Danio rerio: one gene and its partners. The protein of the gene in region 1 purifies or fractionates together with the protein of each later gene. This does not show direct contact. Links are inferred from orthologs where the notes say so. Each region holds a gene or a part of one and is shown in the gene's direction. Other genes may lie near its edges.

Evidence for each region.
Region 2: the proteins of arrdc1b (region 1) and yap1 purify together in Homo sapiens (affinity purification with mass spectrometry; 3 studies listed by BioGRID and IntAct, counting the BioPlex papers as one, with this or other methods). This does not show direct contact. The link is inferred for Danio rerio from reciprocal best matches to the Homo sapiens genes ARRDC1 and YAP1.
Region 3: the proteins of arrdc1b (region 1) and hecw2a purify together in Homo sapiens (affinity purification with mass spectrometry; 3 studies listed by BioGRID and IntAct, counting the BioPlex papers as one, with this or other methods). This does not show direct contact. The link is inferred for Danio rerio from reciprocal best matches to the Homo sapiens genes ARRDC1 and HECW2.
Region 4: the proteins of arrdc1b (region 1) and zmym2 purify together in Homo sapiens (affinity purification with mass spectrometry; 3 studies listed by BioGRID and IntAct, counting the BioPlex papers as one, with this or other methods). This does not show direct contact. The link is inferred for Danio rerio from reciprocal best matches to the Homo sapiens genes ARRDC1 and ZMYM2.
Region 5: the proteins of arrdc1b (region 1) and nedd4l purify together in Homo sapiens (affinity purification with mass spectrometry; 3 studies listed by BioGRID and IntAct, counting the BioPlex papers as one, with this or other methods). This does not show direct contact. The link is inferred for Danio rerio from reciprocal best matches to the Homo sapiens genes ARRDC1 and NEDD4L.

Annotation. Positions count from the first base shown.
Region 1 is NC_133196.1:16,163,124-16,170,065, reverse strand, and holds the start of arrdc1b (arrestin domain-containing protein 1b), read left to right. Parts: upstream 1-2,661; 5' UTR 2,662-2,740; coding exon 2,741-2,858; intron 2,859-6,942. UniProt on the Homo sapiens protein: Functions as an adapter recruiting ubiquitin-protein ligases to their specific substrates. Through an ubiquitination-dependent mechanism plays for instance a role in the incorporation of SLC11A2 into extracellular vesicles.
Region 2 is NC_133193.1:40,205,469-40,211,391, reverse strand, and holds the end of yap1 (transcriptional coactivator YAP1), read left to right. Parts: intron 1-1,376; coding exon 1,377-1,615; 3' UTR 1,616-3,824; downstream 3,825-5,923. UniProt on the Homo sapiens protein: Transcriptional regulator with dual roles as a coactivator and corepressor. Critical downstream regulatory target in the Hippo signaling pathway, crucial for organ size control and tumor suppression by restricting proliferation and promoting apoptosis.
Region 3 is NC_133184.1:25,790,386-25,796,618, forward strand, and holds part of hecw2a (E3 ubiquitin-protein ligase HECW2), read left to right. Parts: intron 1-907; coding exon 908-1,229; intron 1,230-1,309; coding exon 1,310-1,408; intron 1,409-3,055; coding exon 3,056-3,206; intron 3,207-4,819; coding exon 4,820-4,923; intron 4,924-5,009; coding exon 5,010-5,134; intron 5,135-6,233. UniProt on the Homo sapiens protein: E3 ubiquitin-protein ligase that mediates ubiquitination of TP73. Acts to stabilize TP73 and enhance activation of transcription by TP73. Involved in the regulation of mitotic metaphase/anaphase transition.
Region 4 is NC_133184.1:23,044,168-23,050,313, reverse strand, and holds the end of zmym2 (zinc finger MYM-type protein 2), read left to right. Parts: intron 1-182; coding exon 183-297; intron 298-666; coding exon 667-909; intron 910-1,040; coding exon 1,041-1,176; intron 1,177-3,513; coding exon 3,514-3,700; 3' UTR 3,701-4,733; downstream 4,734-6,146. UniProt on the Homo sapiens protein: Involved in the negative regulation of transcription.
Region 5 is NC_133196.1:12,331,207-12,337,936, reverse strand, and holds the start of nedd4l (E3 ubiquitin-protein ligase NEDD4-like), read left to right. Parts: upstream 1-2,512; 5' UTR 2,513-2,832; coding exon 2,833-3,909; intron 3,910-6,730. UniProt on the Homo sapiens protein: E3 ubiquitin-protein ligase that mediates the polyubiquitination of lysine and cysteine residues on target proteins and is thereby implicated in the regulation of various signaling pathways including autophagy, innate immunity or DNA repair.

The DNA of each region.
Region 1 (6,942 bases):
GCGTCGCCTCACGGGTCGTCATGTGACCGCCGGCATCCATGAATTCTCAGCAGGTGTTGCAAATCGTAGGGTCAGCATCCGCATCCCTTGTCGGGTCGCTTTGAATAAATGTGGCTACTTTGAGGACCGCCGTCCTGCTGCCAACTGTGACCCATATGCTGTGACCTGTGCAATAGTTCGCACATGCATGATAGAAGAGAAGGCAGAGAAATAATCAAATGTTGAATTTTATTGGAATTAATGCAAATTTAAGCTTGCATACTTTAAATGATTAGCAACATTATTAATTATAGTGCTATTCTGTTAAACCCAACAGTCGGCTTTATCAAAGGAATCGAGCGTAGTGAACTCCAAATTGACTGAAAGTTAATTCTACTCATTTCAAAAGAGTTTTGAACTCAGTGTAAAAGGTAATAAGTTAATCAAATATCTAATTAAATAAACCTATATGAAGTAAGTTCACAGTACTTATATTGATTCGGTTTTTTTTGTACTTAATGGTTTGTAGCAATCGGTTTCCTCGAATGAATTGAGTCACCTTAACTTTTTGGGTTTTACAGTGTAGGCAGTAGCAGAATTAACTTTATTATTTTGGCTAGGTGCTCTCCTCGACTCTCGCAAAAGATTTTGAGTGAAAATTAGATTTGTGCAGATGAGGAAAATGTTACATTGTGTTAAAGGGCTAGATCACCAAAAATGAAAATATACTCACTATTAATTCTTTTTACCCTCAAGGGGTTATAAATCTTTATGATTTTTTTTCTGTTGAACCCAAGATAAAATATTTTGAAGAAAGCTGAAAACCTATGGGAGTGGTTACAGGCTCTATAACTCTTGATTACAATAAAACTATTTTAAAGTTGTTTACGAACGCCCATTTGTTTGATTGCTATTCATTTAGCTGTCCATAAGGGGGCGTCATAGGCAAGTATTTGTAATTACTGGATTTGGTTTATAAAGCAAAGTTCAGTTTATCTGTAAAATACTTTCCAGTAAGATAACTACATCTTTATATATATTTAAAAAATAATAATAATAATAATAAAAAAAAACTTTTTAAAAAACTTTTTTTGTTTCTCTTGTTTAAAACATTTTAACACAGAAGTTTAGTTTAAAAATACCAATTTGACATATTTTTTTAAAGCCCATGCATAAATGACTTTAATAAAACTGAAATGTTTTTCCATTAAGGCTTAACTGAATGTGAACCACAAGCAGACCTTTCAGAACAAGAGGAAATCATCACAGTTTCAGCAGATAAGAGGTGTGCAGTTCCCATCATGAGATGAATTTATTATTCTCAGAACAATGGCAGAAGAGATTTCTGTTCAGTTTTATCAATGCTTGTGTCGCCAGACAGATGGAGCTGTAGATTCCTAATGATTTTCCTGCTTGGCTATGAAGAAAATACAGTGTGGAGCAAAAAGAAAAGAAAAGAAAAAAAAAACAGGTCTGTGAAATTGTGAAATGTTTGAGGAAAAGGTAAAAAGTTTAAATAATGGATTATATATGTATTATATTATATATATACAGTGCTCAGCATATATGAGTGCATTCCATTTTGAAAATGAATATTTTTGTCAATTTCTCAGTGAATATGGGTAATATATAGCTGCATTTAAACAAAACAGATTTATAAACAGATACATTTATTAAAATAATATTATAGTCAGAGAACATCTTTAGAAATGGAAAGATAATACATTTAAATTTATGCAAAATATTGCAAACAAAAGTAATAATTATAATCTACAACATTTTAACAAAAAAATATATTTTTTTTCTTCTCTAACATACATTTGGGCTACAAATTTTCAATTATTATTGTAAGTTACTTTTTTTTTAGATTAGCTCCAGATTTGGCATTTCAGTACTGACTAAACTAATGTATATGCAGAAATATAATATTATAAAGCATCCTATAGAAAATGTTTATTTAAATTAAAGATTTGTGGGGGGTGTATTCATGTTTGCTAAGCACTGTTTATAAACACACACACACACACACACACACATACACATACACATACACACACACACACACACACACACACACACATATATATATATATATATATATATATATATATATATATATATATATATATATATATATATATATATAAACAGTTTTTAAACACTGATTAACACTGACATAGGAGATATTTTTACAATAAGATATTTAAAGCATAAAACAAAATCTTAATGTTTATCAGTAGTAGAAATTAAATATCTATTATAAACAAATGAACAAATACAGATTGTAAGATTACACTACGATATAAATGTAAGTATTTTTCCACATTTGATATGTTCATATATTAATTTGTTAGGCCTGTAACAATTAGGCCTTAAATAAAATTTTGCAGAAATGTGCAGACACATGGTTTCAGAATATTTAAAACATAAATAGTAACTCCTAGTAATGAACTTTTATTGAACTACAAAACATTAATCTATTTTATAATAATGAGAAAGAAAGAAAGAAAGAAAGAAAGAAAGAAAGAAAGAAAGAAAGAAAGAAAGAAAAAGAAAGAAAGAAAACATTATGTCACGATTACTTGAAACAACCGTAAAGAGCAGAATGACTGACATCCCGATGACGTCAGCGCTCGCAAATGGGCGGAGTCTTGAGAGCCGCAGGTGGGACGTCAAACTGGACGCTGCTTTCACCCGTAGTTTAGCCGTCGATTTTTTTTTCTCATCCTCCGCGAGTGCGTGAGAGGCGCTTCTGGAAGACATGGGGAAGGTTCAGGAATTCGAGATTACTTTCACTAACAACAAAGTGGTCTACAACCCCGGTGAATCCATATCAGGAACTGTGAGAATTAAATCAAGCCACTCCTTGCAGTTTAAAGGTAAGCGATGCTCTGTAGTCGTACATCTTCAGTCTTTTACAGTAGGAACATGATTTCCATTAACTACACAGTTGGTAAGCTCCAGGGTTTCCCCAGTTCACGTATGAACGGTATTGAATCAATGCTTGTCAACATTGTCGTGTCGCTGAATGAACGTGTTGAATGTTTGCATGTTGACATTCGGCATCCGTCGCTTCTGTTTCAGTGCTTGTTCATAAATGTGTATTTTGAGGGATTAAGCAGTGTTATCGGAGGGCATCGACGTCTTCATTCTTGTTTCTTATTAACCTGAGCGTACATCCTGTTTCTCATGTGCTGCTGTTGGTTTCGGTCCGATTGCACAATCACACCCGAGTCGTTTCTGGTTCATGAAACACGCTGTATGTGGTTCGCGTTTCAACAAGTGTGGTTTGATGCCTGTCTTCACTTCGTTTTCTTCTTTAAACGTCCTCAAAATAGTGCACATTCAGAACTAACAGGCAAAAGTATCCAGGACGCGACGCTTGCGCTTAGAAACGCGACGCTCATGAGGTCATTTGCTAAACGCAATTGTACTAAAACATTAGACAAAAATTTAGGGAAAGACTATGTAATAGACCGCTAATAAGCACAAAAATGTACTTCCAAAACGTTAAATGAATTATGTCTTAGTGAACAAAACCCGTTCAAGAAAATAAATGTGTAATGTAAGGCTAAAATGTAAGAACTTGTCATAAATGTTTGTCATAAATGTCTAATTTCACGATTAGAGGGTGGAGTTTTTAAACAAATTTCTGAAGTCCGCAGTTTCTTGTTAAGTTATTTGGTTATTTATCTGGAAAGCTACAACTGAGAAGGTTCTTTTTAGGTTTTTATGTAACAGAGACTGTAAAATAGAAAGAGAACTTCTTATTTAAAGGGAACATTTTATGTTAGAAAAACACTTTGACTAACCAACAGAGAATGTTCTGGAAAACAAAAATGGTCAGATCAACACTTATTCTGAGCAATTTCAGCATGGATGTGATTTGCAATAAAATCTCACAAAATCAATTCACAAAGAAAGTAAACGTAAACAATTTTTTCATTAAGAAAACATGTCGCTTGAACAGAATATCCAGCCTGATCTCACAAAGAAATGTAGCTATTTTAGGTTTTGTCAGTTTAGTGTCTAATTCAAGTTCATTCATAGGAAAATGTACGATTTTAACAAGCGTGGCACCAGACCCCACCCCTAAAACCAATCTTCATTGGGGATAAGCAAATCTTACTAAATTGTTTGAATGACAATTTATGCGAATTAGCCACTAAATCAAAAAGTTACAAATTGCTGTGAGATTGTTTTGGTTTGACATGTTCTAAACAAATAAAATATTGTTTAGTTTGGTTAAGAAATGTTAGTGCATGTTAGTAAAAAAAAACAGCCTTTTGAAATAACAAAATTTGTTCTTATTGATGAATTTATTCATTCATTCATTTTCTTGTCGGCTTAATCCCTTTATTAATCCAGGATCGCTACAGCGTAATGAACCGCCAACTTATCCAGCAAGTTTTAACACACCGGATACTCTTCCAGCCGCAATGCACCCCAGTTTTAATGCACCCCACCCCATAACCAAACCGTCGTTGGGGGATGAGCAAATCATACTAAATTAAAAGGTTACGAATTGCGATATGGAATTGGAATATCGCAAAAGTTCTCATGTCGCCATAATAATTGTCTTTGTCAGCATACATTGATGTACAATTACTTAGTACAAATGAATTCCCTGGTCATCTTTAAACAAAATCTGAACATTTCCTTTTGAATAATATTTGTAATATTTACAAAAAATATTTTTAAGAATTTATAAAATGACATTTAGTTTTTTATAAATAGAAATATTAGTATTTTTTAAATGCCACACTGCACAGCCTCCATTAGTAAAAACTAGCAAAATGTGAATCCCTAAAAAAGGCATAACCTTTCTCATGAGTGTGTATTTGTGCTGTTACGTGTCAAATCAATATTACAGCTTTTTAAACTGATGGATTTTAATGATGTGCTGTCTAAGTCCCTCATATTGTTGTATTATATGAGTTTATCATCATGTTGCAGATAAATATCAATGCAAGTGTATAACTACAGTTACAGACATGCATACACAGACACTTTACTCTAGACTGATTACCATGTCAGTTGTCAAAACATCTAAAAGAAAAGCCATAATTGTGAAGACATCTTAACTTCTGGCAGCCCCAAACCCTCCGCACCCTCCGCTAACCAAATTTTTGCATACCGCTTGTCATTGGGGAAAGAGATAAGAAAGTAGGTTAGACAAGGTGCTTTTTACACAGTGTGAATATGCACAAAGAACGCATTGTAAGAGTTTTCATCGAACTGTTGGGTTTAGTGTAGGCGAGACTTAATAGACAGACATAAGAGATGTTCCAATGAAACAACTCCGTAAGCTCATTTTCCTTTTTGCCGTTCCACTTATTGTTTGTGTTCACACTTGAGACTAATGTGTTGCATGAAATTGTTGTGCATTTTCACTCAACTCAGGAACCCCACCCTTATTTGTGACACACACTGTATGAAAAACCGATAGGCGATCTCCTGTGGTCATGTTTCTGTTTCTCTCAGTTGTTCCTGTCAACAATGAGAAAGCACCTTTTATTGTCCATCAATGTGGATTGGTGCATTGTTTATGTTCTCTCTAGTGTTTATCAGTTGCATGCGTGAAAGATGACATCACCAGATGATGAGGTCATGTGACTGGTGTGATTAGTCATTGTCTGTTGGCACTTTAATTCATTAGGACTTCCTGCCGTTCCCATGTTGGTACTTTAGGAATTGGCTCGGAGCGCCTTCACCTTGAGTCAAATGTGGAAAACCTGCATCTACTTTGGATTTGTGGCATTCCCTCCAGGAGCCATTGTGCATAGGAAAAGTGCTAGTTGGTTTGAAGGGCGTTTTCTTTGCATCCAAATATGCTGCTTCCATATGTTACTTTAGACCCTAAGAGCAGTCGTGTCAGTTTTTTGAGATTTAAAATGAAACTCATAAACTAAAACTTGTTCATGACATGAAAACATGAAAGCTGAATAAATGTGATTTTCATCGATGTATGGCTTGTTAGGATAGGATGATGTTTAGCTAAGATACGACTTTTTGAATAACTGTGAGTTAAACCAACACAATTCTTTAGTTCTTTTGGGGGGGGGGTAACAACTTAAATGTTATATTGTTTTATGGATTTGTATCATTAGGGTTTTAACAGTATTACTTTTTTTATTGATACCACGTTCTACTTTAACGGTTCTCTTATCGGTACTTTTGGTAAAAAAATTATTTAAAAAAATAAACAGAATGAACTAATTAATTTAGTTAACGTTTTTTGGGAGTTAACTGTGTTTTAAATACAGTTTTGGAGCATCCTGCAATGTAAAAAATAAGCTGTTTTTTATAATTTCTTAAGCATAGTTTATTATTAGGCTATTCTTTTGCTATATTTGTAAATGCGGCTGATGTAAAAGCATTTTTAATGTTTAGATTTATTTAGGCTACTGCAGAAAAAATACTGTTTTCAATGTAACCGAATGTGTGTTTATTAAAAGTGCTAATATTATACCAATTTAGGTGATTGACTGCTGGCATAACGATGTGGATGATGTAATGTTCTTGTTAGTAGCTAGCAGTCAAAAACTATTCATTTGTCTTTCTGCAGTTTTGAAAGATACTTCCACTTAGCCAGATTGCTTGCGTTTCCGCTTATACAAGAAAACAACTTGTTACGTTTGTTGCAATGGGCATTGTCGCTGTCCACTCAGGAAATATTACCCATTTGGTTCACTTTGCAAGCGCACAAGCAGTGTGTTATGAAAGTCGCGAGCCATGTGTGTGCATTTAGCGTGAGCCTCTACTGAGTGCACGCACAGCCAAGAACTGTAAAGGCTTTTATATTTGACGCATTCGCCGGAAACACGAGCATTTCTCATGTGAGATTGCCAACTGTGTAGATGAATATCAAATATCGCAAATTAGATAAGGTTGGTCAGTTAAATTATGCACCTGTAATTAATGCTTATTCAGCAATAATTCTCCAGTACATATAGCAGAACC
Region 2 (5,923 bases), on another chromosome or scaffold:
AGTGTTGTTTTTTTAAACACAAAAACATTAGCTGCGTCCCAACTTGCATACTTATGCACTATTCTACGTCATTTTGTAGTATAAATAGTGTAAGTAGTGTGTTCACACTGAAAACTCTAAAAATAATACATGCACTTTAATTACCCGGATGGTGCACTCATTCAGCCGCTAAAACGAAGTGTGTAATGATGGACACTTCACACGCTCAAAGACTGCAGGTTTGCTCAAGTAGCGGAAGGGGCGGAGCTATCGGGCGCACATGTTGAATAACTTTATATATTATGGATTGTGAAAGCAAAATTCTCCTACGAGAGTGATTATAGCGCCTCCCGATGGTGAATGCGGTTATACTCACGGCAGGTATTATTTGATAATTCGGTCGTTTATTTCACTGATTTGGCAACCGTCAAACGTCATCAGGGAAACGGTTTGAATTTCTGCTTAGTAAAAAAACATTAGTGCTCCATTTGAGACGACACTACATACATATACTATCCTGGTGAGTGTGTAAGTGCATAAGTACATAGTGCATGAGTGTATAGTGTGCCATTTGGGACGCAGCTATTATTATATGTGACTCATTCCAGAGTTGTGGGGACATTTCAAGCATTTTCCTTAAACAGGAATGATATATTTGCAGTGAAGTGAATCTGATAATAATGTAAAATAATGCATAATTCTTGAATGTAATAGGCAACATTTGCTTGTTAATTGCAGTTAAACGTTTTAAACCATAAAAGCCATTCTGTGCTTTAGCTCAAGATGCTAACCTTAAAAAAATAGATATTACAGGGCATGCCAAAAACAGGATTTCATGCATTTCCATCATATTATTGTTTTTAAAAATCTGAAATTCGCTGAAATTTCACAATAACAGAATTTACATATATTAAATATACAATTGGTGTATCCTAAACCAGATTTTTTTTTTCTATCAGTGCTTTACAGATCATTGTCATGACTTTTTGTTACAGACAAAATATGTCATTTTTTTAAAACAGTCATAAAATACATAATAATAATGCATGAAACAGATGTTAATGCAATGAAAAAATTACTTTGACTGATTTTTGTGATAATAATTGAAGCTGTTTGTTTGATTCAGGCGGTGGTGACTCAAAATAGGAGAGGCTTTGAGTTATAATAATAAAAACAGCAATAATCTAATAAGAATCCTTATTACTGTCAAGAGCAAGAATCAAGTGTATTCAATCATTTTAATCGTGTTTAATTGAGTTTTGTATAAATATACAATAATACTTATTGCGGCATTGCACTTTGGACAATCACAGTCTTGGCTCACAGGCATTTCCCAAACTCTGTATAGTGCAGCCCTAAAGGAAACGTTCATTTCTGACCCCTCTCTCCTTTCTCAGGTGACACCCTCGGCCCCGGCTCAATGGCAACACAGCCCAGCCGATTCCCCGATTACCTAGACGCCATCCCGGGCACGGACGTGGACCTAGGCACCCTTGAGGGCGAGAGCATGGCGGTGGAGGGCGAGGAGCTGATGCCCAGCCTGCAGGAAGCCCTAAGCTCCGACATCCTCAACGACATGGAGTCAGTGCTGGCAGCTACCAAGATCGACAAGGAGAACTTTCTAACCTGGCTATAGAGAGCCCGAACCCAGCACTACACCTTCTCTTTCATACCGAACTGCTGCCCAATCCAATCTGTGAAGGATCTGTAGATGCTTTGAGTCGACAAAAGACATTTCACCTTTTTGTTTTTGGTTCTCTCTCGTTTTATTCACAACATTTGGCCCAATTGGTTTTAAAAGCCGAACCTTTGGTCCTTTTTTTTATTCTTCTTTTCATGTCTGCATCCTCAAGGCTGGCCCATGAACAGACAAGTATTCACAAGTAGCAGAATCTCTCTCACGGCTGTACTGCACGTCGGCCCATCAGCGTGCGAGTATGTCCATTTTGTGTTTTGTTTTTTGCCTCGCAAAACTCCGACAGAGCCAAGTGGGTTCAAGTGTTTCACAAGCGGGAACGACAAAGACAGACGAATCCTGAATAAATGAAAGTCCCTGATCTCAACTCAAGCTACAATTGACTGTTTTACTTGATGCAGCGATGAGCCTGAGATACCAAACGAACAAAAGCGATGAGGAGGTCATATGTATGTGGGTTCAAATCTTTTTTTAACGCGTGGCTTTGGTTAAACAAATACTGCTGCTTGGCTGTGCCAGCATATCACACTAGATACTGTGTAATCAAGTGCCTTCAGATGAAAAAACAAAAGAAAAAAAAACAGTTTTTACACTCGAGATCATCGATCAAATTCGACGTTTTCTTTTACTTACTCTTCTTCATTAATCAAAGTATATTTCTTTCAAAGGTTTTATAAAAGAATATTATGTTGGGAATTAGGGTTTGATTTTTGTTTTGTTTCTTCTTTGAAGAACCCTAGCCTCCTTGTGTGTTAGTTTTTATTTAAGCCTCATTTTGTTTCTTGAGGGTTTTGGCATTCATTTGTGATCAAAGAACAAGTTTTTGCTCTCATAACCGCTTTCTTTTCTTCTAAGAGCTGCCTTACACTATATGAATAAGAACACTGACTAGAAAAACTAGCATTTCTGCTACGTTGTAACAGTTTGTTACCTATTTTTTATTCTTATTGTACGATTTTAGTATCTTAGTTGATGCTTGCTTGTTTAAGCAAAAATATCGTTCAACTAAAAAGCAAGGAACAAAACTATCAAGGGCACTTTGATCAAAAGACAGACGTCTCTGATATGAGCTCCAGCAGAGTCTGTGCCAGTTACGTTGATGGCGTTTGGCGCCGAGACCGATATCGGGCAGGAAGTGAAAGATTCTGATACGTTTAAAAATGGGTAGACCGAGTATGTTTTGAGGGTTAGTGCTGTAGATTAGCTTGGATCTGATTTGGTATCGATAGAGTAGACTTTCATCAAGTTATCATTTCTGTCAGGATTTCTTCCAAAGATTTCTTCGTGATGAATCTTTTCTCGAAATGGACGACGGGATCATTTATCCTTCTTTGATGTACACGTAAGACATAAGCTAATGAGAAAAGGTCTAACTGATTTGAGGAGGGTTTAATGAAGCAAGATTTGACAGGTCTTCTTTTGCTGGTTCTATGATGTCAGAAGTTTACATTAGTAGAACACTACAGTCTTTCCCGTTCAGAAATACAATATGAATTTTTTTAGTCTTGTTTACAATATGGTTAGCTTTACACTACGTGATTATAGCTTCAGAACTGGCCCGTACACTATATAAATATATATTTTAAAAGGTGAAGTTTTATTGCCTCAGTAGGCAACAATTGTATTGTCAAATATTATGATCGATACCTACAAGCTAGGCCGGAGTAATGGAAAAAAAAAGACAAGCTAAGAGAAGTTTCTATTTTTGCAAACATAGTATTGATGGCAGACTCTAGTGGGCTAAAACAGTGTTGGAGAGAAAGAGAGCAATGCAACAAAAGGTTTTCTGAATTGTGAGGGTATTGCACGTTTCTAGAACATTGACTAAACTGTGTATGTCACTTAAACTTGATTATTTGCTTGCTTAGTTTGCAACCGTTCAGATTATATAGTAACTGTTTACTTTTTGTTTTCTTTCTCTTCGTTTTGTTTTGTTGTAGTGGTAGTACTAATCACACAAGTTAATGGATTGGTATTTAGATTCCTTTAAACGCACCCAGAATGAATTTATATCCATTTATTATGATCTCGTTGTTGCTTTTTTTTAATCAATGTATGTGCATGTACTTTAGAACCTTAAGTTCTGTTACATTATATCTCTTGACATATTACTTTAAAATTGGCCTGGAATAAAGTATATACTTTGGTATTTACTGTCTGATGGTTGTTCATAAACGAGCAGTATTATAGAGTTATTGTAATTTGTGTGTGAGGAACGTCTGTATAAGGTTTGTTATGCAAAAAAATACTTAATTGGACCATTACAACAACTAAAGAACTAATCAATAGATAATCAAAATAGTAATTGTCCCCATATTTCTTTAACCCTTATGTGCTGTTGTTTTCATCGACTCTGAGGTGATATCAAGTCTTAATTTGTCCACAACTTTCTGTTTCAGCAAATGGAACAATTTTTGGTGACTAATCTTATTAAGAGGAAAAAATACTTTGATATTTACAAGAAAAACTAACAATACATTTATTCATTCATTTTCTTTTCAGCTTAGTCCCTTTATTAATCTGAGATCACCACAGTGGAATGAACCGCCAACTTATCCAGCACTTGTGTAACCCTTCCAGCTGCAACCCATCACTGGGAAACACCCATTCACTCTCATTCACACGCATACACTACAGACAATGTAGCTTACCCTATTCACCTATACTACGTCTTTGGATTGTGGGGGAAACTGGAGCACCCAAAGGAAACCCATAGGGATAACATGCAAACTCCACACAGAAATGCCAAATGACCCAGCCGAGGCTTGAACCAGCGGCCTTCTTGCTGTGAGGCAACAGTGCTACCCACTGCACCACCATGTCACCTTCAACAATGCACTCTGGGCAAATTTACTAGCCTTTTGTTATGTTTGTAGCTCTTTTTGCTCCATTGACTTCCATTATAATGACAGTTTTGATTGCAAATCTCTGACACCCTATAATCATGCTTTCTTTAATGTTGCTGGTTTTTCTTGTTAGGAAGAGGTAAATTTACAATTTTTACTCTTGATTATCAGTTGCAGAGCAAAAATAAAGGTTAGTTTCTTGACAAAAATTATATGGTTATATGAATTATAGTTCGTGTGACAGAGTGAGACCATTGGGCACTTCTATATTTTTTGGGGGGAATAAAGCAGCTCAACTCTCAGAAATTAGTAAACATAGTGTATTTAAGCACAGACACATCTGCTGTTTTACTCCATATAAAAAGCAAACGTTTTTGCACAGGCCTATCTTAAGAGTTAATGCTGCCAACTTATCATCAACAGAAATAATGAAAAGTTTGACCTCTTCCCGAAATAGAAAACACCAACAGTCAAGATTGCATGATTATTTGGTGTCATGGCTTTGCAATCAAAAAATGTCATAGGAACATGGAAGTCAAAAACAGCAAAAAGAGCCACGAATAGATAGTCAATTTAAACAGTACACAAAGGTTAAAAGACTTTTAAGTGTGCATGTTTTACATATTGAGTCAATCGTTAAAATATGGGGCTCTATCATACAACCGGCGCAAGGCACGACGCAGGTGTCATTTTAACGTTTTGCACCACGTTGTTTTAATAGCAAATGCATTTGCACTCATAAGTGCGCCCATAGGTGTTCTGTTCTAAAAAAGGAGGCATGTTAAGGCGCATTGCTGACGCGTTGTTATTTTGAGAAACTAAAATAGTCTATTCAATAGCCTCGCTTAGAGGAGGTCTAAAATCCAGCACAGAGCGTGTTAGTTGTGCGCCTCGCTTACACATTGCCTAATACACGCATTATGTAGAGAAATGCGCAAATATCTTTACAAATGAAAATGAATTAAAGGATTAAAACATTACAAAAATTATTTCTTTCTAGCCTACATAAATATAAGAAAAACAGCCTTCATGCCATCATCGTTATCATTACTAGCAGTATTATTTATTATATCCATATTTATATTTGTTTTATTAAAAACAAGCTTAGATTAAAACCTGTCAGGTTTTAGACCATATGGGGCACAGTATATGTATTTTGGAAATAACTCAGTTTTTTGACCACACTTCGTTATTATTGTTCATTTATTCATTTGCTGGAAATTAGAACTGAATTTAGAAATAGTTTTGAAACAAATGTTTGCGCTTAATAAACAAAATTAATTATGTATAGGCTAATGGATTTCTGTGCATACATCACGTTTCCCTATCCACGAGAGTGAAAGTAAATAATGAGGAGGCTCATCTCTCATTCTCACGCTGATGCTCTGTTTAACTGTTTACT
Region 3 (6,233 bases), on another chromosome or scaffold:
TCTATCAGCTGATAATGCCCATTCAATCGAGTGACAACATTTGAATCAGCTGGCAAATGTCAACATCTTTTACAGATGTGGTTGAGTATTATTGATTTAGTACAAATCATAGTGTTGTAGTAACTAAAACACTTAACATGTAATTGAATAATTACATACAATTATTACATAACAAATTTAGAAATGTTGGCAGCTAACTGAAATAATCTAACTTTATTTTTTTTTATAAAACTGGTTTCACCACACACATGTTCTCTTTGCATTGATGTTAAGTCAAAATGTATAATAATTTGGACTAATGTCTAGTGTGTTACAATTTATTTAAAAAATAACATATTTTCTTGATAATATTAATTAACAATTTACATTAAATAACATAAAGATTAAATAACATAAGGATTAAATAATGAGTTGCTCAGCATACTTTCTCATAAAAAGTCAAAAATATCTGATATAATGATTTGACAGCACCACATGGTTTTCATCTTTTTAATTTACTCAATATATCAAACATCAGAAATGAAAAGTTATGTAAGTAGAAACAAAAATGACAGTCGGATGGATTGACAGACAGACAGGCAGGCAGGCAGGCAGACAGATAGACTGATAGACAGATAGATAGATAGATAGATAGATAGATAGATAGATAGATAGATAGATAGATAGATAGATAGATAGATAGATAGATAGACAGACAGACAGACAGACAGACAGACAGACAGACAGACAGACAGACAATGATAGATAGATAGATAGATAGATAGAAAGAAAGAAAGAAAGAAAGAAAGAAAGAAAGAAAGAAAGAAAGAAAGAAAGAAAGAAAGAAAGAAAGAAAGAAAGAAAGAAAGAAAGAAAGAAAGAAAGAAAGAAAGAAGGTAATCTGTCTTTGTGAACTTGGTCTTCACAGGAGGCCGAGCAGGGGGCAGAGGCAGCCATTGACCCAGGGGGAGAAGATCTCTCAGACGATCCACCTACCACTTACGAGGTTGCAGAGACTGCTGAAGAAACACATCTAACTAATGAGCCGGAGAGAGAGGCTCCAAAACCAGAGCCCCCCACCAACGAGGAAGAGGAATGTGAAGATGTGACTGAGGATACCATGTCCAGAAGATGGAGCCTGGAGGCCACAGCAGGAGTGTCACAGGAGGATGAAGATGAGTTGATACCATCCGGAGATGGGGAATCTGTGGACTCTGAGACTTTTGTTACGGAGACAGAGTCAGAATTAGGTATTCACACAGCCATTTATGTGTTAATCAAGTAGATTATGAAAATACACCCTGATGTATTGTATCTAAATGTTTTGCAGGCGTTCCTCAGGTAAACGGAGATCAGCGTGTTAATTCTCTGCCATCTGTAAGACAAGACATCCACCGATACCAGCGTGTGGACGAGCCCTTACCTCCCAGTGAGTGTGTGTATGTGTTTCTGTAAGTCTGCATGCGCTTCAGTGTGGTTTAAGGTGTCCTCAGTAATATTGGCACCTCTGGAAAATATAAGCAAAAAGGCTAGTTTAACATAAAAAATAAAAAAAAACAGTATGTTTCAGTTTATTATTAGATGTGAGAGTAGCTTACCTTTTTCTTAAAACCCTTTCGAAACCTTTTGTACTTTTTGACAGTTTCATTTGTGAATTTTGGAGATTTTTTTACCAGGCTTAGTCACAACACAACATCAAATTTGACTATTACTGCTGTTGTAAACGAGTCTGCAAGAGCCTACTGGAGTCTCTCACAGGTCTGCAGTTCGCAAGTTTTATCGCAAGTCTAAAATGAGTCTATGTTATGTTTTTAGGAGGAGGGGGTGGCTAGGTGGAGATAGCTAACAAAAGCATGTAAATAAAGTATTGGAGTCAAACAGCATTTTCCCAGCCCTTATCTAATCATCATATATAGTAGCATGCAGTGATCAAATAACGTATTGGAAAGTATCACCCAAAGACTAAGGCACCGTCTTTAAGACGCCACCCATAGCATTTGCATCACCTTGGCTGAGCCCGTGCTCAGAAATACAAAGGTTTAACGTCCCTCATAGCTGGGCTGTTACAGTTTCGAATGAAATTAAAAACCAAAGAATATAACTTTTCAGTTACATGTAGATTATTGTTTATTTGAAACTAAATCATAGAAATGTATATTTCTACACTGCCCTGAAGGTGGAAACTGGCATTTCAGTGTTTTTGCTATTTTAAAAGCCACTTCTCGTGTTGTGAATCTCAACAAATCTCTGTGAGTGATTTTGTATTATTGATTTTTGTATTATTTATTATTTATATATATTTCTATTATTTATAGTTGGGCCTTGGTGAGTTTTTTTTTTGTGTTTTACCCAAAAGTAATAAAAATGTAAAGTATTATCAGAACATGCAAAAGATAAATAAATGATTAATTATGTGAGTGTGTGTGTGTGTGTGTGTGTGTGTTGAAATTTGGTGCCAATAATTGCGGCACACAAACTGTGCTGTATTTGCAATTTGTTGTTCTCCATGAGGTGACTCGGTGGCACAGTGGGTAGCGCTGTCCCCTTACAGCAAGGTTGCTGGTTCGAGCCTTGGCTTGGTCACTTGGCATTTCTGTGTGGATGTTCTCCCTGTGTTTACGTGGGTTTTATCCGGGTGCTCTCGTTTCCCCCACAAGACCAAAGACATGCACTATAGGTGAATTGGGTAAGCTGAATTGTTCATTGTGTATGTGTGTGAATGAGAGTGTATGGATGTTTCCCAGAAGGGTTGAAGCTGGAAGGGCATCTGCTGCATAAAACATATGCTGGATAAGTTGGTGATTCATTTCACTCTGGCGTCTCGAGATTATCAAAGGGACTAAGCCGAAAAGTAAATGAATATATGAAGGAATGTTCTCAATGAGAGCAAAGGTTTAAAAAAAAAACAACAACAAACCTTTCACAGTCTTCTTTGGTCATATTTACCAAGGGTGCCAAATGTGCATGTTCACTTTGCCTGTGTGTTTGCTTGTAAAGCCAATTTTGCCAAAAAAATATCAGGGCTAATCAGGCACTGTCATGCTCTCATTCTCATTTGCTCCCTCTTTTTCCTCAGACTGGGAGGCTCGTATTGACAGTCATGGTCGTATCTTCTTTGTGGATCACGTGAATCGCACCACCACATGGCAGAGACCCACTGGCCCTCCGGCTCCACAGGGTCTGACCCGCTCCAGCTCCATTCTGCAGATGGAACAACTCAACCGCAGGTTAGAACAATACTGGACTGGTTTAAAATGTTACTGAGCTGAAAATCTCATTTTACACAGTAAAGGACACACCAGCAAGCTTAATCTTCTCCTAATGTTACTCTAAGGTTACTTTCTCATTTTCCAATGATTTCAAGGGCAATGCAAAAATGAAAATTTATGAAGAAATGAATGAAAAGAATTCTGGAAAATCTGTTAAATCTTGTAATTTCAATAGAAATTCTGTCAGAAAATAATCCTGATTTATTGTTTGGAACACTATTAGGACTGAACAATAGACAATGGTGACAATGGAGCTTTCGTTTCAGTAAATATGTGTGTGTGAAAAGATCTACTGCCAGCATAGACATGTAAAACTCACAGCTTAGCAAAAAGCACTTTCCAATCAAGCCGGTAACTGTTTGCTACTACTGATTTTGTGTGAACCTAACAACTTTTCACTTTTACACCAAACTCCCAAATACAGGGAATTTTACTGGAATTTTATCTGCGAAATGTCAGAGAACAATATGGTTAGAAGGTTTTGGATCTGGTTTTCCCGGCAGTCTCAGACACCTGTGCTTTTTTCTTCAAGTGACGTCACTTCACCACCTGCACTCTCTGCCAAAAATACTTTTTTTCCAGCCCTCCTTCTGCATTTCTATGGGGATAAGATGTTTTAAAGATTTTGTATTTGATAAAAGCAAAAGTATTTTAGTATCATAATGGACAGTACTCAGGAAGACACATGTCAACATCCAACCAAACTGGCACTGCAACATTTTGAAATACCGAAAAGTGCTTAGCATAACTTTTTATGTAATATGACAATTGAACCATTTATAAACTATAAAAAGTATAAATCATATGTACAAACTAGCATGTCTGCACATGCAGATTTAACTGCATAATTTATCATGAAGCATTTACGTCCTATAACAAACCAATGTAAGGAAAATGCTAAAATTAAATGCTTAAATAAAATGTGCTATACAGGCATACATGATGTGTCCAAAGTATGAACACACAGTTTCACATTAATCATTGTCCTCACACAGAAAACTGTTTAATTGGCTTGATGCAGTTTTGCATTTTCAAACTAGCAGATGTGGCTAGATTATTAATGCACTACACTAAAATGCATGTTGATGCTTTTGTGGATATACTGTACATTACAAATCTAACAGCAAAATAAAATGTAAAAATGTAAGCATTAAAACTTGTCTCCATTAGCAATGCAAACAGACTGCTGTTTTTATGTGCCGTCTCAGGTGTCTGAGAGTGTAAGTGCAGGTCTGCACTCAGACTATATTGGAATGTGATTGCAGTTTAAGTAAACTATAGGTGGGAAAAAAGCCATCATATCCTTCAGCTTGGAAATGACAATGAATTTGGGCAGTGTAGATGCAATACTCTGTGAAAATATTCATAAAAAGATTCATTCAATTCCTTAGGCTTAATTCCTTATTTATCTCGGGTCCCCATAGGAAAACGAACCGCAGAAAATGAAAGATTTATGTTGTAACATTTTCATTATAGAAATATGGACATTTTTGTTATAAAAGAAGCTGAAATCTGGGTAAATTAATGAAGACTTTGTTACATGAACAATTGCTGTGATTTCTCTCTGGCAGGTATCAGAGTATTCGCAGGACAATGACCAGTGAAAGGTCTGAGGAACCCAGAGTTGAAGATCCTCCAGCTGATGAAACAGACGTGCTGGCTCAGTCCATCAGTGGTAAGCCATCCAACTACAGATGATGGTGTTTTGGGAAGTGAGTAGTTTTGTACAGTCTGTGTTTATTGATGTCTGCTCTTGTCTAGAATACCGGAGGGATGGCATTATTGGTCAGGCCAGCTCACGCTCTCGTCTGGCTCTTCTGCTTCAGTCTCCTGGTGCAAAGTTCCTGTCCAGTCCAGACTTCTTCTCTGTTCTGCATTCTAATCCTGTAAGCCAAAGCACTCAGAGACACAAACACCAGAGCACACCTGAAACAAGACCATGTTTAGACCCTCACATTAGGATGTGGTTTTGTCAATGAGCCTCATTACACCCGGTCACTTCATGCATTTTCTCTAATTGGATTGCTCACTGATATGCAGTGGTGTAAAGTAACTAATTACAAATACCTAAATTACTGTAATTGAGTAGTTTTTCTCAGAAATTGTAATTTACGAAGTAGTTTTAAAAATGTGTACTTTTACTTTTCCTTGAGTACATTTTAGTGCAATATCTGTACTTTTACTCTCACTACTTTCCTTCAACCTGCAGTTACTATTTATTTTTTCTTGTTTATGGGGATTAGAAAAATCAGTCCAGTAATTCATGTCCAATCATATCACACACAGAAGGTAAATTGCATCATAATGAACTACTTAAGACATGTGCACTTTACACTGAAGCAAACTGTTTGGAAGCATTAAGTGTCCAAGATGTTCAAAATCTTTACACGCATTGACCCAGAGACTGTTTAGATCAGGGATACCCAAACACAGGCTGTTTCTCAATTCCAATAATGCAGAGAACGGACTTGCGTTCTTGTGAAACCGGTCTTGCCAGGTGTCCTCGAAAGAACAAACTTAGAAGAGCATGAGGGCAGAGAACGCGTCCTTTGAGAAATGAGATGCTTCATTCTTCCTGGTGGTCACATGACCTTCACGCGTTTTAAATGGTAAATTATTAAAACATGACAGCATTCATACAACGATTTATTGTTTTTCCCCTTTTCAAAATATATACTTTGCATAAAAACATTATAAATATACGTCGCACAATATAAATAAAACAGATTTTAATACGAATTTCAGCAAACAAACACCCTTAATGTGTTTAATCCTTTATTAAGATGTCCATGGTAATGTTTATATTCACTGTTTCATTTAGGGAAACTCCGGAGGTAAATAAGTTAAATCTCTTAACTTTAATAATAAATCTAGATAAATGCTGCGCTTCCCTCCTCCAGTCGCAATGACTCCTGGGACTTCCAGGTGCTTAAGTCTGCATCAGTGCGTCCTCAATATCAAGATCACATCCGGGAAGTTTCACGC
Region 4 (6,146 bases), on another chromosome or scaffold:
GATCTAAGCAGTGTCCATTGATTATATCATTTGCTGTTCACATCCTGAAACAAGATGTTGATGCTTTTGCTATGAGGACACATAATACTGCTTATTGAAAACTGACCCACTCTCACCTTTATTAAATCCACATGTTTTGCAATGCATTAGTGTATTCATATATATTTTTTGCACATTTGTAGCATTTGCAGGACAAAGGAAGGACAGATGACCTCTTTAATGACTCACAGTATGAAATGTTTGGGGAGGAACTGAACAAGCTCCTCAAAGACTGGCAACCCAGTGTTCTTCCGGATGGTAAATACACTTATAAGTGTGAAAATGTGCAAAGATCACTGTACTGTATTTTCCAGAATATAAATCACATCTTGTATAATCCAACAAGCTTAAATATTCACCTTTTTGATCACATTTTGATAATCTTTCTTGTTTTAAAATGTCCAGTGATTATAACCATTGCTGTTCACATTCTGAAAAAGATTGTTGACTCAATCCAACTATGAGGACATTTCAAACTAATTAGTGACCTGCATATGTAGTATGGATACTTCAAATTGATTCAATTGTTAAATGTAATTAAGGGTTTGAAATACCTTAACATGGTGTGCTTGACCTATTAAAAACAGTGTTGCTCCAGTGTTTAAGTGTGAGTATTTTTCCTTTGAGGTTCTCGGTGGAGTCGTGTTGAAGAGCAATATCTGTGGAGCAGCGGACAGCTTGGAGAACAGGCGCCTTCTGTCCTGCTGAGATCTGTATTCTATCTCAACACCAAATACTTTGGTCTTCGCACCCCAGAACAGCACTTACGCCTCTCATTTGCAAACGTCTATGGCCCAAGCAGCTCGAAACCGCACAGCCATGAGACCACCGTCTGTATACGCATCCCCTCCATCTCACAGGAGCAGCATGGTGTGTTTTTCAATTGTAGTTTCGCTTTACTTGTGCATTTTAAATGTCCCAAACTTGTTAGATATTTAAATGTTCAATGTGTTTTACCAGTGTTGCTGTTTGCTGAAATGTCTTGTACGTGTTTTTCACAGAGCAATCAGGAAGTAAGAGAAGACGTAAAGATTACTGTGACTCAAATTTTGATTCAGACAGCGGTTCAGGGGGATCCGCACACTGTCCTGTTAAGAAGCATGAGTGCCGACTGTATGAGCTTTACCTTTCGAAGTGGTGAGTGACGTAAATCTTCCTTATTTGTGATGCATTTGAAGAACTAAGGGCTTTTTCAGAACTGTAAATAGTATTTAATTTAATTTTCTGTAAATTTGTATTTTTCTTTTAGTAACCCTTTACGTTCGGTTCTCATTTTTAAGGGAAACATTTTAAAGTGCACCAAAATGTGGTTCTACAAGTACAACTGCCCCTTATTGCCAGAGTGCACCTGTGTACATTCCTCTACTTCATTTATACTTCATTCTGAGATGTGACACGAAAGCACATTAGTATGTATCTGTCATTCCCACGTTAACTGATAAATGATGTGTATTTAATTATACTCCGCTGTAATAAAGTTAATGTGGGAATCATAATGAGAGCAATTACACAACATATTAAGATGAAGAGGTGCTTCTATTTTATATTAAAAAAGAGCTTTTATTTTAACTGTGATAGTTTCTTGCTGATTTGAATGCAGCTAGTTCAAATTATTTTAAACTGAGTGGTGTCCAGTGATTATAACAATTGCTGTTCACATCCTGAAACATGGTGTTGACACTTGTAATATGAGGACACAGCAGACCTTTGGTGCAGAGGTAGTCAAGCAGTGGTGCCTGTTCAGTTCTTTTCTTAGTGAGGTAATATGATAAATGGGTAGAGTGTCTTAAGTGAACTGGAAAATTAAAATTTGATCTGTAGTAGTCTTACAGGGGTGTAATGGTGCATGTATTTATAAAATTTATGTATTTTAGCCGGCAACTAGCTCTCTGCAACTCAAAATGGTCGCCCACTGAAGCTAAGCAGGGCTGAGCCTGGTCAGCAGTACCTGGATGGGAGACCACATGGGAAAGCTAGGTTGCTGCCAGAAGAGGTGTTAGTGAGACCAGTAGGAGGCAGTGTGGGTCCAAATTCCCCAGTAAATTGATGGGGACTCTACACTGCTCAGTGAGTGCTGTCTTTCAGATGAGATGTAAAATTGTGGTCATTGAAAATCCCAGGATGTCCTTCCAAAAAGAGTAGGGGTTTAACCCACTGGCGTCCTAAACATCCCCATATCATAATTCGCTTCATCACTCTGTCTCTCCACGAATCAGCTGGTGTGCAGTCTGGCGCAAGTCTTGTCGTCAAGTCATCCAGGTGGATGCTGCACACTGGTGGTGGATGAGGAGATTCCCCCAAAAAGTGTGTAAAGCAATTTGAGTGTCCAGAAAAGCGTTATATAAATGCAAGAAATTATTGTTTATTATTATTAGAGAAAATCTTTGTACAAAACTAAATGTTAAGCTTTAACCCCAAGGCCATTTAACTAATATTATGCAAAATTTGTTACCAGGTCTTCATTCTGTTGGAAAGACTTTAAAATATATATTTTTTATACTAGATGGTGCGCTTTTCTATTATTATTATTATTTATTCCTGTTGTCTGCCTATGCATATTTTATGCCTATTGTGGAATTGAATGGATAAATCATGCAGTAATAATTGTGTGGGCTTGTTAGAATGGAGATTGTCAAACTGTTGTTGGTATTTGTGTAATAGTTTGAATGACAGAAATTAAATTATATTAGAAATACCCTTGACCACATGTAACTTTCACACCAGGGGTGGGGTCATAGGACCTTGTAAAAACTATGAACATTTTTTTATTATTTGTTTTTTGTACAAAGTTTGAAAAGTGAGCTTGTATTTTTTTATTTTTTAACGTAGAAGTTCAGAAGCCACTAAACACCTTATTGTTTTCATTAAAACGTTTTAAAATCTGGTAGAGCAGGGGTTCTAAAAATTGGTCCTGGAGGGCTGGTGTACTGCAGATTTTAGCTCCAACTTGCCTCAACACACCTCAACACAACAAGGATGTTTCTAGAAAGCCTTGTAAGAGCTTGATTAGCTTGCCCAAGTTTGTCTGTAACTAAACTTTGCTGGACACCGGCCCACCAGGACCGAGATTGAGAACCCCCCTGTCTTAGATTTACAGTCTAACACAGGTGTTATCTCAGCCAAATCTAAAAAATATATGATGCTCGTGTCATTTCATAGCGTGTAGGACATTTCATCATAACAGGGGAACATCTTGACTATAGTCACAGGTGATGACAGTGAGCACAGTGCTGCGTATGAAGCTACCATTTTGTAAACAAATCAGCATTTTTTAGCAAGGGGTTGCCTTTGAAAATCACTGAGTGTTTGATTATTATTAATATGATTAGAACTGCTGCTGGTGAAAAGATTCGACATCAAAGATGGACATTTTGGACATATCTTCATAGTCTTTTTGGTTTTAGCCAGATTTGCTGAACTTTAATAGTTTTTCTGAACTATTTGTCTGACGCTTCTCTCTTACTCTCTCCTCAGCCCAGAGTCTGTGAGACAGAGGACAGATTTTTTTTACATGAAGCCAGAGGTGTCTGCGTCGTCGGATAGTCCGCTGTGGTTCAGCTCGACGCCTCTGGAGAAGAGTGTGCTGAGCAGGCTCCTGACTCGAGCGCTGCTGGTCAGAGAGGTCTATAAAGACAACCAGCCTGAAGAGGACGCAGCCTAGAGGCCGATGCACTGAAGACTTCTAACTATGCTATCATGACACCCTGTGCATCACCAAACCAGCTGCTTTCCACACCACACCCTGTCACGCTCCCTTTAAACACACTGATCCCAGTACAGTTATGACATGAGTCCAGTCAGGATGGACATCGATGGGATTATGCTGATTCTGGTCAGTCTTCCCAAAGACCTTGATTCAGACGAGTAGATTTTTTTTCCCCCACCATGAACGTGACTTACAGTATGCTGCTTTCTTCTTTATTTTCCCCCCCTCTCTTCCCTATTTGTTGGAAACTTTTGTTGATGTAGCATTTCTTCTTGTCAGAGTCTAGTCTGTTAGCAGACGAAACACACAGGAACTTTAGGCTGTAATGGAGGTGATGAGGATGTATTCGTTTCTTCCTGCCCAACAAAGCCTTCTAAAGATAAAATTTTATTTATTACTGCTGATCGACGTGTTAAAGACGAGAGTCTGAGATTTTGAGATGACAGGGCAGGGTGTGTGTTGGACACTGCCATGTGTGCAATTTCTCTGGCCTTCCATAAGAGCATTAAAACCTGCTGCAGCCCCGGACCTCTTATTTGTGCGAGCGGTGTGTCTGTAAATGTGAGTGCATCTTTTTTCCCTCTCCTTTCTTGTTGTTTTGGAGTGAATTGGACAGGAGGTGGTCCTGCGCAGTCAATACATTATTGGCATTGAACCTTTAAGTGTGAAACTATTCCTCTGAACAATCAAGTATATGAAATTTGACTCTGAACTTCATTTGCAGCGTTATGCTGATTGCAGATAAGCGGAGATGCATTGTCAATGTTTAAACATTGTCATAGGATTTGCTCTGTAGCCTTCCTGGAGCTGAGAGTCATTTGAAGGATGTGCGTGAGCACAACGATCATTAAATGTTACGTTTAAAACACTTAGCTTATGCAAGAGTGAAAGTGATTTATTTATAAAGTGAAAGTCAGCCGGGTTTTTCTTGTCATGGTTTTTATGGTTATTTTCCTTGACCCTTTTCTACCAATAAATTACAATCTTATTTGTTGTCTCATAATGGCTCGCGAGTAAAGACCCCCATTAAAGATTTTATTTTCTGTTTGAGGGAAACCATGAAATGTGAATTTTCAGTTTGTCGTTTTGTTTACAGCTCTTGTCTTCCATCTCTTGGATTGGAAGGATAAGTGAGTAGCTTTCTGTAACGGAGTAAAGATGTTTTGTGCTTGTTAAACAAAGCTCATTATTAGGCAAACGAGGTGTTGAAAATATTAAACTTTGGGCACTTAAATCCTTCTGCACTGATTTTACGTTGAACATGAGTGATCACTCGCTACTAAGAGGTAAAGGAGAGGGATAAAAACATTCCAATGTGGACATGCTTATTCTTTATCACTTTTTATCATAATGGGGAATTAATTGGTTATTGGAAAGAAAATAAAGTAGTACCAGAACTTTAACTGATAAACGTTTAAAGACAGGCCTGCTGTGAGCTCAGATATTGTGAAAGCTTTTGTTTACCCATCTGTTTGCATTGTCAACAAAACTACATTACCCATGATGCTGTGCATAAATTTCCTTGAGTAAGATGGTTGCAGAAGCGCTGTGTGTGAATAATGTAATCAAGCCACTTTCTCTACACTCAACATGCTTACGTTTTTTATATGTATGCATAGTTTACAATAAAGTGAAATATATTGGTTCCACAGATACAGCCAACAACTTTAAATGGATACTTTTATATTCCTTCATTGTTTTTCATTTTAATGTTATTTGTAGTGCATCATGGGATTGTAGTTTTGCCTTTTGTCTTGCATTTTTATATACTTTTTGCTTCAAATCAAAGATTGTAATGTAACGTTATGATTTAACAAGACTTGAGGAAAAAATAGACCAATGAATGAAAAAAACTGTTAAGGGAAAAAGTGGATCGGCACTAATTGTCCTGCTCATTTAAAGCACACTGTAGTTTTGTCTTCTGCTACTTGAAACGTTCAAGCTTTTAAGATTCTAGATTCTGATTGGCTGTCACATTTTTCTTTGGTTGAAAAAGAAATGAAAAGATTTGAAAGTGATTCCAATAATATCTGTCCACTTTGTTATAACTAGTGTGCACTTCTGTTTTCAGGAAACTATTTTAACTTAATGTTTAATGTAAAATTTATATCTATTTATTCAGTTTTTTGTTAGTCCCAACAATGATTAACACCGAAACCAGATTAAAAACAGACATTTTGCAGTTTAGCTTTGCAGAAAGTTACTTTAATGAAAAACAAATGGTCAAGTGCATCCAAAATTTTTGACTAGTAATGTACACTCACTGGCCACTTTATTAGGTACACCTGTCTGTCTGCTCATCAGCCAATCACATGGCAGCAACTCAGTGCGTTTAGGCATGTAGACATGGTCTGGATGATCTGCTGCAGTTCAAACAGTGCATCAGAATGGGGAAGAAAGG
Region 5 (6,730 bases), about 3.8 Mb from region 1:
TTTTGTATCTTTAAACCGCTTAACAGCTAGTTGTAATGAATTCACAGCATGGTGGTTCCCAAATTCCAGTGCTGATGAGTTCATATTTATTAGGTTCTGAACAAGAAGGAGATGTCACGGTGGCGCAGTGGGTAGCACAATCGCCTCACAGCAGGAAGGTCGCTGGTTTGAGCCCCGGCTGGGTTAGTTGGCATTTCTGTTTGGAGTGTGCATGTTCTTTCAGTGTTCGTGTTGGGTTTTCTCCAGGTGCTCCAGTTTCCCCAAGACGTGGCATAGGTGTATTGAATAAGCTAAATTGGCCGTAGTGTATGAGTGTCCAAGAGTGTTTCCCAGTGATGGGTTGCGGCTAGAAGGGCATCCGGTGAGTAAAACATATGCTGGATAAGTTTGTGGTTCATTCCGCTGTGGTGACCCCTGATTTTTAAAAGGGCTAAGCCGAAAAGAAAATGAATAAATGAATGAAGAAAATGGATTAAAAAAATGAACCAGGAAAAGATTTGACTTTTTATCATATCATATAACGTTAAAATCTTAAATTGTTTATTTGTTTTGGGGTTTTTATTGTATATTTATCAATGTAATGTTTTTTTGCAATGGAAATGGATATTGTTGCCAACATGGCATTAAATAAAACAAATATAATTTGCACAATTCTTCAAAGCAGTTTTTGTAGATTGCATTTATCTGAAAATTGCCGCCATGGAGAAACTCAACCACTCCAGAGACGTGTGGGTGAGCGAATGTGCTTTTTGAAAACCCAGCCAGGTCAAATCACCAGTTTGCCTTTATTCAATCCAATGTTTATACTATTTAGGTTATTAATGGTTTGGTTTTTAAGAAATGCATGCAAAATAAATGCTTTGGAAAGTCGTTGTTTTTGTAGGTTGCGCTGTGGAAGCCCTCTGTCGTAATTCCCAGAATGCTTGGCACTGTGAAACTAATGCTTACGGCATGATGTCTCCGTTCTTTGTCCGCAGCTCACCCACTGCAGGGCTTGTGTGCCCTCCAAAACAATGCCCCCTTTAGAAAGCGCCCACACTCTCACAATCAAGGCCTTTCTTTCAGTCGCAGTCTGTCTCGCTCACTCCATCCAATAAGATGCTGCACTGACTTCATGGTTTAGGGTAGGCTGGTGTTGCTGAAAAGACACAGTTCTAATGGTGTTGATGTGTACAAGAAGACTTATTTTATCATCTAATAGCTGAAAATCATATAAAAAGTCAGAATATCCACCTAAAATGTTCATTAAATTGTTTAACACTCATTGTCTAATTTAAATTGCATGGATGTTGTTGTTGGCTTTTATACATGCAGTATTTCATACTCCTTTGAATTAAGTTGCCTTTGCCCTCTATTTCTCCTTTGACAAATCAGGGTGTATGAAGTGTCTCATCGAATTTGAATACAGACAGTGTTGTATGCTCTCTCTGGATTTTAACATTGGCTTTAGCAAGTTGCTCAGGCTGTCAGCAGTCTGTGTCAAATGTGGTATTCTCATACCTGTGAGCAAAGGGTTTTAGATACTGATAAAAAGATTCTGATTTGGCAGATTGTGTTTGTGATAAAAAAAAATAAACACATGGGTTTTATTCAGCCCACACAGACTTTGTGAACAATGTATTATTTGCAGTAATAGCTGTATGTTATTAGTCTGATTTCCTGTCACTTTAAGGATTTCCCCCAATGAATAATTCGAGGTGGTTTTTAACCTGCACAAAGTTAAATTGCTTTGTTGACTTAGTTTAGGAGTGGTCTTGATTGTAGATTTTTTTTTCTTCAACTGCTCTCAAGACTTTGCCCCGGGCTGCATCCTGAATCATTGTTATTGTGTTGAAAGAGAGTGACTGTCTTGTGGTCTAAAACTTCCCTTAAGTGTTTTTCTTTAATGCAGACGGAACATTTCAGCCATGCCAACCCTTAAGAAGCTTGAGAAATATTGCATGTCTGTACAGAGGCCCCAACATAAAAAGCTGCAATGTTTTTCCAGCTTTTCCTGGATATTTCCTGCTAGAGAATGTCTGTAACGATAGTGGTAGACCTCTAATACCTCTTCTGTTTACCCATATATGTCTGATTGATGAAGTTCTTCGTGCTTTGATTTGTGTTTTATATGTATATAAGTATATAGGAATAAGTAAGACTAAATTCTTACTTTACCAGTTTGAGATGTGCACAGCACCTTGTCCCAACTTGGCTTGGCCCAGTGTGCCCTGTGTGTGGGATGAGCACGAAGAATTATGAGCTTGTGGAGAGTGTTTTCTGAGTCAGCTGTGATCCCTCTCTTTCTCATCCCACCCCAGGCGGTCTAGGTCCTTCTGACAGATCAGTAGCAGCTGAGAGAGTGCTGTTTGGGTCTATCCGAGAAGTGGGGGTGGGTGCCTACTGGATCACATGACTTCGGCCACCCTACCCTCACCTTTGCTTTCAAGAGCACCAGGCGTCCTTATCCAATCATGCCTGGAATGTAGCTTGCCACTTGGGCTATTTCTGCTGTTTGTCGCTATCAGACTGCAGCTTGAACAGTTTGACACATGGGGTAGTTTCTTTTTTTTTTTTTGATTTTCCTATCCCTGGTTCTTTCTAGCTTTTTCTTGCGCTCTCTCTCCTCTCTCTCTAAAGCTTGTGGGTTGAACTTTTAAGCTCCCTGGCAGAGCTTCACTGGTAGCTGTGAAACGAAACGCAGCCTCTGTCTGTGAGTAAGGGAAAGAGAGAGAAAGAGGGTGGATGAGCAAGACAGAGAGAGCAAGAGCAAAAGGGGAACAGACACACTAAACAGTGGGTGAGACAGATCCAGCAAAGGCTGGACAGAGACAGATCAGGGCGGACAGGAGAATGTCTCACCGGCTTCGGTTGTATTTTGGATCTGGTCGCAGTAACACTGCTCCAGAGTTGGAAGAGCTGAATGGGACAGTGGAGGAGGAAGGTGACATAAGCTACAACAGTACAGGAGCCATGGTGGTCCATGCACAACCACGTAACGGAGGACATGCAGAAAGTCCAGAACCAGGCACAGTTGTTGGTTCGGATGCCTCTCTAAAGCGAAGCTCTTCCATGTTCATCCCACAGCTCCAGGGTCAAGCTGAGTCACGGACAACCAAGAGCACCTCTGTTCAAATATCTCTTCAACGCACAACTGCCCCTCATGAAGATGCATTACCCTTTGATCCACCTCCAGCGTACCCCCAGGATCCAGCTCCACCATACACTGAACCTGGTGAAAGTTTGCCCTTACCTCCACCTCCAACCTACTACAAATCCTGCCAAAATGTGGAACAAACTCAAAAAGATACTGAACCTAAGAGGCAAGTCTTTTGTGTCCGGCCATGTGATGGTCAAAATGGTTATACCCATGGAAATCCTCAAGGGATCACTATTGGAGGTGTCTGTATTAGAAGAAGATCTGCAGATGGCTCGGATGTCCAGCAGTTCAGGATTATGCCATATAGCGAGGATGGGCACAATGGGCACAATTGGTCTGTCCAGCAATGCTCAGACAGAGGTCCTGGTGCACAAAGACTAATTTTTCAGCTCCAAAAGGACCAAGGACGGCAACCAAGCTCTACCTCTCAGCCTGACGTGAGTGATTTAGGCATCACAGGTTCTAAAGGTTCCCGCTTGGTGCGGTACCCCAGGATTCGACTTGAGCGGAGCACGTCACAGCCATTGCAGCCTAGAGGAGCTCCTTCACGCCTTGGATCAATGCCAAACCTTCATGCTCCTATCTCAGAAATGGAAACGGAGAGTGATTTTATTGAGAATGGTGCTCAAGGTTGCACTTTCAAAATTAGGAAGGAACAGAATTCCCAACAACCGAAGTTTAAGATTTATTTCAGCCAGGGCGGCGAGCACAGTCCCATCCTCGAAAGGAATATTAGCATTGGAAAGGCGCCTACCTGCAGCAATCCACAGGTACTGCTGAGTGTCTAAAGTTAAGTAATATTTAATCTGACCGTGAAGTGCATAGTTTTATTAACAAGCAGTTATTTAGTTGCTCAAACTATGCTGTAGGGTGTAGAAAGCTTTAAGTGTGTTTTAATAATTTGTAAGTGGCTGGAGAATAGGAAAAGCATATGAAAAAAATAGGTAGCTGGATTTTCAGTAGAAAGAGGAGGTGGGTTCAGAAATGACTTATTCACAACCCACATTCTGGGAAGTGAAAATTCCATGAAAATAGGGGCCAGGAGCAAGACGTAACCGCACTGTCTATGGTTTCCTAACAAGCATACAAACCCTTAAACTCAAGAAGTGGAAATGTATGGGGACTGGAAGCATTTTCAGACTGAACTTCATTCATAGTGGCCACTTGTCTTTTTCCCCCTCTCTTGAAGAGGAGCCTGTTCTATCTTTAGTCCCGTGTCAAGTGTTGTTGTTGGTTTTGAAAGCAGCCTTTCTCCTTTGGACTGGGTTACCGTTCATCTCTTGTGACAGCTGTTCTGTGGTGATTAAGGTCTAATATATGGTTACACATGCTGCTGTTCTTGGTATCTCAAAGCTTTTAATTTCCCAACCCTTAAGTGGTTCCAAACTTTTATGAATTTCTTTCATCAGAACTTTCTGATTTCTATTTCTTTCTAAACTATTCCTTTAAGCACTTATTTTTTCCTCATATATTTGCCACTTTTTGTCACTCCCTAGAAGTTGAGTTTTTTTACAGGCTTTGAAACTCCTTTCAGTGACTCAGAGTAGTGCTGAAAATCTGTAAGTGTGTGGGATTTGTCAATTTGTCACCAGTTGTTACTAGTACTAGAACTAGTATCTATCCTTTACAGAAGTTTAGGTTTGCGTTCGAAAGTTCTGGAATCTCTAAGACGTCCACATTTTAGAATATTCCAATGTCGAAATCAGCACTGTCACACGCATACCTTCAGCTTCTGTGGCAGCATATGTATTTCCAGTACCTGCTGAAAAGGCTTTACTGGAAATGAGTCAGTCAAGAAGCTAAATGTTCCAGCAGCAGAGTTCATCAACTGAAGTGAACCGCTCTCGCGCAGATCTGTTTACTTCATGCTGTCATGACTGCTCTTATGAACGCCTCAAGCAAGTCTTTGTTGATGCTGGATTATCTCTGAGGATAAGTCTTGTAATACATCATAACCTGTGGAGTTCTTGTTTACAAACAATACAGAATACAATACACTTCTGTTAATATTTGATTTTAACAAGATGATTAGCAGAAAACAATAGCTTTCACATAACCATATCACATTTCGGAGATCGTCCATTGCATCCATCCCCTTGTGGGAAGCATGGATTTCCAGTAGACTTGCCAGTGCTCTCAGATTAAAGGGGCACATTTTTTTTTTTGGAAATAGGCTCATTTTACAAGTCTCTTTGACATAAACAGTTGAGCTTTACCATGTTTGAGTTATTCGGCAATCTCCAGGTCTGGCAGGAGCGCTTTTAGCTTTGCTTAAAGATGTTGTTTCTAGGTTGATATAGCTGGGAAATACACTACCTGAAAATTGTTCTCAATCCCAGTTGTAAGAGTAAAGAATAATAACTTGTCTTCTAGTTGATCATTTGGAAAATTGGTAACAGTTATATTTTTTCAACACATAAACTGCAGAACACTTATTGGAACCTGGAAGGGCCCAAGATTCTTATAGAAATCCATCAAGTTTGGTGTAGGAAAAATCATGGTTTGGGGTTACATTCAGTATGGGGGCGTGCAAGAGCTGCAGAGTGGATGGCAACATTAAATGGCTGTGGTATCAAGACATTTGTGGCAAATTCTTTAGCAGGATAGCACTCCGTCTCATGCTTCAGCCTCCACATCGAAGTTCCTGAAAGCAAAGAAGGTCAAGGGGCTCCAGGATTGGCCAGCCAAGTCATCAGACATGAACATTGAGCATGTGTAGGGTAACATGGAGATGAATCCATAGAATCTTGGTAAACTCTGGGAGTCCTGCAGGAACACTTTCCTAGCCATTCCAGATGACTTTATTAGTAAGTTATTTGAGCCATTGCAAAGATGCATGGATGCAGTTGTCCCAGCTCATGGGAGCCATACACTATATTAATTCTTTTTCCACTGCACCATAACTTTATATTCTATACTGTACATTATTTCTGTTCAGTGAAAAGACTTTTGTCTAAGCAAAGTCAGACCTTACTGTCCTAATTAAATAATTAAACATCAAAGCATGATTTAATTTTGGTAAAATAAGCATAATCTAGCGGACTTTGCCTTTCATATAAGCCACTTATAAAATTAATGATCAACTCGAAGTAAAGTTATTATTTGTTGTTCCTAAAACTTATAATTCAATTGCAATGTAATAATCAAGGAACTTTGGTGCAGTATATCATAGCTGCTTGCAAAATTTGCCTTTATCCCCTAGCACACATGTAACTAAAGAAGAGAAACTCTACGAATTTTTAGGCACAATGCAAACAATCTTTTAGATTCAAAGATATATGCTAAGCTAAGCTTAAAGTGCTCCTGCCAGAACTGGAGATCAGCTGAATAGAATTAAAAATTGAACTGTTCCAAACAGTCTCACGGGTTTTAGTAAGCATGATGAGGGGATGTGGGGGCAAATCTTGCTCAAGTCTGCTGTGGCAGCTTTCTTCCAGAACTCAGGATTTAGTGGTTTAAAAAAAAACCTGTGCTAACAAGTAAGAAAAGAACAGTGAGAGAGTTTGAAATTGAGGATACATGAAAGAGTCAAGCTATGTCAGCATTTCCAATTGCTGTGGTACCTTGTTATTGTTGTCGGACTGGAGCACT